Linked DNA regions of Macaca mulatta. The main gene of each other region encodes a partner of the protein of the gene in region 2 in a complex. Links are inferred from orthologs where the notes say so. Each region holds a gene or a part of one and is shown on either strand. Other genes may lie near its edges.

The links. Proteins that work in one complex are often made in the same cells at the same time.
Region 1: the proteins of SPINDOC (region 2) and SPIN1 are in contact, whole or in part, in a crystal structure (PDB 7CNA), measured with the Homo sapiens proteins. The link is inferred for Macaca mulatta from reciprocal best matches to the Homo sapiens genes SPINDOC and SPIN1. Residues at the interface, in NP_612480.1 of Homo sapiens: Phe256, Ala258, Pro259, Ala260, Val262, His264, Phe265, Thr266, Asp267, Ser269, Phe270, Pro271, Gly273, Phe274, Val275, Leu276, Gln277, Leu278, Phe279, Ser280; in NP_006708.2 of Homo sapiens: Met154, Thr169, Tyr170, Glu171, Pro174, Pro206, Val209, Val210, Leu213, Lys216, Gln217, Val218, Glu219, Tyr220, Thr229, Val232, Val242, Tyr243, Ile245, Phe247, Asp249, Asp250, Tyr254, Val255, Tyr256, Asp257, Leu258, Val259, Lys260, Thr261.

What each region holds. Positions count from the first base shown.
Region 1 is NC_133420.1:119,101,314-119,103,805, forward strand, and holds part of SPIN1 (spindlin-1), read left to right. Parts: intron 1-545; coding exon 546-745; 3' UTR 746-2,492. UniProt on the Homo sapiens protein: Chromatin reader that specifically recognizes and binds histone H3 both trimethylated at 'Lys-4' and 'Lys-9' (H3K4me3K9me3) and is involved in piRNA-mediated retrotransposon silencing during spermatogenesis.
Region 2 is NC_133419.1:10,602,983-10,607,126, forward strand, and holds the start of SPINDOC (spindlin interactor and repressor of chromatin-binding protein), read right to left. Parts: upstream 2,919-4,144; 5' UTR 2,616-2,918; coding exon 2,489-2,615; intron 1-2,488. UniProt on the Homo sapiens protein: Chromatin protein that stabilizes SPIN1 and enhances its association with histone H3 trimethylated at both 'Lys-4' and 'Lys-9' (H3K4me3K9me3).

The DNA.
Region 1 (2,492 bases), on a different chromosome or scaffold from region 2:
GCAGTGAAGTTGAGGGAGAAGAGGCTTTAAGGATTCAGAGTAAACCAATGGTACTTAGGCATTTTAAATATGTGCCATATTCTCAGTAATCCCTGTAGGAATTGTCTGCTTTCAAATTATATTTCAAAGCCACTCAAACTTATTTTCATTTAATTACAGCTACAGATTAAATATGGACCAAATGAATTTTTGGTTATGATTTTTAAAATTGTTCATATATCTAGATGGGGGTCGGCAAACTATGATAAAAGGTTTTATTGGAACACAGCCACATCTGTTTATATGCATATCATCAGTGGCTGCTTTCGTGCTGCAGTGGCAGAGTTCAGCAGTTGGGACAGAGACCATATGCCCGTAAGCCTGAAATATTTACTGCCTTGTCTTTTACGAAAATGTTTGCTGACTCCTGGTCTAGATAATCATGAATTCAGGGTATTAAAAAAAAATTTTTTTTAAGTTATGAAAATAAATATGAGTTGATTTATATCTAAAAATTGTTTTAGAAATTTTCTCTCTCTCTCTCTCTTTTTTTTTTTTAAATATAGATGATTCACCTCCAGCAGAAAGGGAACCAGGAGAAGTTGTGGACAGCCTGGTAGGCAAACAAGTGGAATATGCCAAAGAAGATGGCTCCAAAAGGACTGGCATGGTCATTCATCAAGTAGAAGCCAAGCCCTCCGTCTATTTCATCAAGTTTGATGATGATTTCCATATTTATGTCTACGATTTGGTGAAAACATCCTAGATGTCATCACAAACTGCCAAATTTGTGGAACTATGAAATGTATTATTTGTAGACATAAAGACTTGATTGCTTTCCAGTTTAATGAAAGCTTAAATGTCCCTGCGAACCCACAATCTCTGCCAGCAGAACTGGTTTTGTTCTGAATAGTACAGATTGATGTGAACACAAAGCATTTTGTGTAAGGAGAACCCCTTTCTTTTAAAAGAAGTCTGTCTATTTGGAGGGGAGTTACAGGCAAGTTTGGTAAAAGTTAAGCTAGTATCATAGTCATTTAAAATTGTAATAGATCTTAACCATTTTCCCCCTCACCTTAACCCTCTTATTCTGCCGCCACAATGCAAGCATAGTTTGATGTTTTCGTTATTGCCTTTTTTGAGATATATGTATCTGTATCTACCTATATCTATATGTGTGTATACATATATAATATATACACACAGATACATGTGTACACACACACACACACACACACCCCACACACACCCCATACTCCCCACACACCCCACTGGCAGTCTTTTCTTTGTGGATTATTAGTATGGGGGTGACATAATTTTCTTGAGTTTAACAGGAGTGCTTTACCCAAGTCAGTCATGGTTATGATATTACTGCTCTTTATTTCAAATTAAACTTTGGGCACAGGAAGCATATGGGAACATTTCAGCTTGTTTCAAAAAATCAGAAGTTCAGAGCACCTTTTCAATCTGGAGCCCTTAAACCATAAGTCCAAATATGAATTACTTGTGAACAGTTAATGACTCATTAGAATTTTACAATCTGGTGAAGAATCTGGGTAAAAGGCTACCTTTAATTCTAAGCTTTGAATTTTTTTTGTTGTTGTTGTTACATTTTAATCATAAATTCTTTTTAGCAAAGCCCAGGTCCTTGTTCCACACAGTGTAATGTAGGTGTATTTTGGACAGCACATGTGGTACATTGTGTACAAATCGGTAATCTGGATTTCAGTACATGAATTTAAAAGGCAACAATACATGACTGGTTTGCGTGTTTTTGGTAAGTTTCTGGAAGAATACTGTGCTTTTATATTGGAAGTGTAAGTTTTGAGTGGCATTGTTGCCTTCTAACAAGCTCTCTGGGACTTTTAAATTTTTATTACTATTATTGCTAATGTATAATTATGGTCAGAAACTTTCAACCCACCCCTTTCCCCTACCCCCTGGCTTTTCCTCACAAAGAATGTCTAGACAAATAGCAGCTTAGTCTCCTGACACCTTGTGGGGTGCATGTTCCTGCTCCAGGTGTGCTGTTAATGTGGATTCATTCCATTCAGTGGCCCCTTGGGGTTTGCATGTCAGTGATGCGTTACCATAGAAGAAAGCCAGCCGTTTGTGTTCGCTTGGTGGGTGTAAGTAATAGCAGCCCTTAGCCACGGAGTCTTTATGTGGTTAATTCCTGCAAGGTTGTTTTAAACTGAAATAGAACTGCTAGTGTGATTGGTTGATCAGCAAAACAGCTGCTCTCACTTTGTTTTGGAGGAACCCTGGTGGTTTGATAACCAGGAGAAAGGCCATATGTGAAACCAGTCTCTTGTGGAGATTGGAAATCCTCCCTGATATTTGGGCAGAGCCTAAACGTGCATGCTTATCACTCAAACACCAAAAGTTTGAATCAGAGGTCCGAGTGACCTCTTTTGTGGCTGTTCTTGATGGTTTCCAGGCCTCGTTATGCATGGTTTGCTTGATGCCCATTTTTTGTGCCTTGTGCTGTTGGATGGTAACGACCACTCACC
Region 2 (4,144 bases):
TGACCTTCTGTTGGTTCTTCTTTTGCTTCCCTGGCACTCTTTCTCAGTTACGGGTGCTGGTTCTTCCTCATCTCTTCTCAATATTCCCTCTCTTCCTCTGTGTTGTTGCTGAAGAACCATCTCCCCTCACCAGAGCACCCCATTCCCCTTATGGATCATCTCCAACACAGCACACATCACCACCTCATACTTGTTTTTGGGATGTTCACTGCTTGTCTCCTCACCACACCATAGAATCCATGACCATGGCCAGGCGCGGTGGCTCACACCTGAATCCCAGCACTTTGGGAGGCCGAGGCAGGCGGATCACCTGAGGTTGCAAGTTCGAGACCAGCCTGAGCCACAGGGAGAAACCCCATCTCTACTAAAAATACAAAATTAGCTGGGTGTGGTAGCGCATGACTGTAATCCCAGTTACTCGGGAGGCTGACGCAGGAGAATCACTTGAACCCGGGAGGTAGAGGTTGTGGTGAGCCGAGATTGTGCCATTGCACTCCAGCTTGAGCAAAAAGAGAGAAACTCCATCTCAAAAAAAAAAAAAAAAAAAAAAAAAGAGAATCCATGACCACACAGATTTCTGATGTTTTACATCCGTATCTCTGGCATCTGTATCTGTATCTCCCGGCATGCAGTGACATTTAGTAATGTGTGATGAGGGACTGACTCGGTTTCCAACCTGCCATCACTGGAGTTTCCCAGGACTCAGTTCTTACACACTTCTCTACTTCCCTCTCATCCCACTGTCTGCCTGCTGGCAATTTCCGTTTACGCCACTAGCCAGATACTCCCAGGAAATCTAGGCTCATGTATCTGACTGCTTAGTTGACCTCTCCACTTGAATATGTCATAAATAGGCATCTCAAACTTAATTATATTCAAACTTTCATTCCCAGTTTCCCATGAGCACCGCAGCCTTCCCCATCTCAGAAAATGGGAAGGCTGTTCCTCCAGTTGCTCAGGCCAAAAACCTTGAATTCAATCTTTCTTCCACTCTCCACTGAAATCTTTCCAGCAGCTTGTGCTGCCGGACCTTTGCACTTGCTATTCGGCCTGAAATGCTCTTCCTGCAGATACCTGCAAGGTTGGCATCCTCACTTCCTTTGGGTCTGTGCTCAAAATTCACCTTATTAGAGAACACTTTCTGAACCACTCGATATATCCAATTAAACACCCATTCCCCCTTTCTCCTTGTCCTGCTTCAGTGATCTCTGAACCATTTATTGCCACCCAACATACTATACATGAACCTATTTCTCTGTCTTTAGCCATTGGTATATATATGTTCTTCAAGAGTAAGGTTTCAGCTGCTCTGTTTACTGCTACTACTTCCCAGCCTAAAAACACTAGCCTAAACAGCCTAAAGTAGACGTCCAGTGAATATTGGTTGAATGAATTCACCTGTCTATTCCCACCCTAACAGTGGGGGTAAGGCCACCCTTGCAGGGTTGAGAGGATTAACTGAGACAGCCTCTGACAATGCCCAGTGAACACTCAGCAAATATTAGCAGAAGTAGGAAAACAACCTGTCTTTTGGACTACATGCTCCGAGAAGGGAGGTGACCTTTATTTCCCTCATGAATTTTATAACCCTTCCAGTTCCAAAAAGGATGAGAGGCAGTGCAGACAGACATCATTCTGTTCGGCTGAGGTTCAATGAATGGCCTTGCTGCTCTCAACCTCTTCTGGGTACTGTCCCCCCAAAGAAAAGGCGGGTGGGAGAATGGAAAGATATTTGCATTTTCATGCATATTAAGTCTCCCACAAAGATGGCTCTTTGTTTTCTTATGGTTTGCAAGTTCCTGAGGACTAGAAATCGGCGAAGGGGGAGGGGAGAGCGAGTGTTCTCAGACTGTTCTTCCCATCCCCTCCCAAAGCTAATCTCATTCTAGCACTGCACTGCTTTTCCAAACTAGCTGTTGTATGCAGTCCCATTCATCCCTTCTCTCCAGAACCTGACACCTGTGGCTCCTGCAAGTGGAAGGCCCGGGAATGGGGATGAAGCGGGGTGGTGGGCAGGAAAGTCATGCTCGGGGAGTCCTTAAAATTCTCCTGGAGGTCGGCAGCGGCGCCCGCCTGTAGCCTCGGGCCTATAGGCTTCGCCGCCCCTCGGCCTAGAACACAGCCCGGCCGTTGTGCTTGCGTGAGACGGCGGCCTCAACCACCCAGCGCCTCTGGGGATCCGGCCTCCGGTGCTGGGCCCGGGAGAGGGGGCGCCTGGGCACCGGAAGATCCGGAGCGTGCGGGGCGTGGATCGAAGTCTCCAGACCCTGGGCGGGGGAAAGGGGGAGGGAGGGGAAAATCGGGGAGGCCTGAGCTTCCAAACCATGGTGGGGGAGGTGCAAGAGCGCGTCCTGGACCCAGATCCGAGAGGGAAGCCTGGGCCCCAGGATGAAGGGGATGAGAAGGTGCCCGGGTCGCGGACCCGACTGGGGAGGGACGGCCCCGGCCCCGCACCGTGACGCGGAAGTGGGATCCCCTCCATCCTCACCTCTGAGCATCGGCTCGGGCCGCGGAATTACGGCCACCACCATGGCCTCCTCCTCGTCCTCCCCTTCCTCGCATTTGAGCGTCACCTCGAAGCAGTCGAGTGCGGCGCCCTCGGCCTTTAGGGCCATGGTGCGGCCGTGGGCGATAGCGGTGGCCGGAGAACTGGCGCGCAGGCTTCGCCGCGTAGCCGGCAACCGCCTCCCGCCTCCTGGCCGGAACAACGCCGGGCCCGCTGCCCGCTCCGCGCAGCCCCCTCCCCGCCACCTGCCCGCCTGCCGCTCGCCGGCCGGCGCTGCGACCGGCGCGTCCGGGCCTCCCCGAGACCTCGGCGCGTCGGGAGCCCGGGCGGGGAGGGCTCAATCCGGGGCCCCTGCCCCCCGCCGCTCCCTTTTATGGAGGCTCATTGTCGGCGCCCGCCCGGCCGGCCAGCCGCGGACCCGCCCCCGATCCCGCGCGACCAATCGCGCGTGGCCCCGCCCCGGGCACGCGGCCCCGTTGGAATCCCTCGACCCAGGAGGCGGCGGGAAGGGCCGAGCGGACCCGGGGCCGCCCAGTGCGCGGAGGCAGAGGGGCCCCCAAAACCCGCACCGCGGACGTCTTAGTCGACTGGCCAAGCCCGGGGGTTTCCCTCCGTTCAGAAGTCAGTTGGGCGTTTCTGCTGGCGTGGAGAGCGCTACCAGGTGCCCCCGGATTTTGATCCGGAGTCGCTTTTGCCTTTCCGTGGACAAGCCTTCCTCCGCCAGCAGATGCCCCGGGCAGGAAGAGAAGCGGTGGGGGAGTGGAAAGGGCCTTGGTATGGAAGCGTAGAGACGAATTCCTTCTCATGTGCCGGCTCTGTGGCCATGGGCACATTATCTGTTTTATTAGACCGGCTCATCGTTTCTTTCAAAAAGCATTTCGGACCTTTCTGGGAAGGCAAAGAAGAGGAGCGGAGTGGACTGTGAGCGGACATAAACCACCCAGATGGGTATGATTTCCATTTTTTACACGTGAGTCCAGAGATTTTGTGACCCTCTCCAAGGACATACAGCAATCCCTTGAGAGCCCCAAGACCAGAGTCCAGTTGCCATGACATTGCTTCCCTATAACCACACTCTGGGTGAGCTTTTACTTCTGTGACATGGAATGTGCATCTCCCTCTTCTATAGCAACCCTCATGAGATTTCAGCTCAGAAAATGCAAAATGTCTGACACTGAAAAAACATCTTCAAATGTCGTTATATCAAACCAGACACAGTAGTATTCAGAATCGCGTAGTAGGATGGGGGTATGAGAAGAGGTGTGAACTAGTCTATATGGATTGCAGTCAATTTTTTTTATTATTATTATTTTGAGACAGAATCTCCCTCTGTCACCAGGTTGGAGTGCAGTGGCGCCATCTTGGCTCACCACAACCTCCGCCTCCCGGATTCAAGCGATTCTCCTGCCTCTGCCTCCCGGGTAGCTGGGACTGCAGGTACGTGCAACCACGCCCGGCTAATTTTTGTATTTTTAGTAGAGACGGGGTTTCACCATGTTGACCAGGATGGTCTCGATCTCTTGACCTCCTGATCCGCCCGCCTCGGTCAAAGTGGGATTACAGGCCTGAGCCACCGCGGCCGGCCTTGCTGTCTATTTTTAAGGGAATTATTTTGTTGTGTGCAAGTGTATCCGGTAT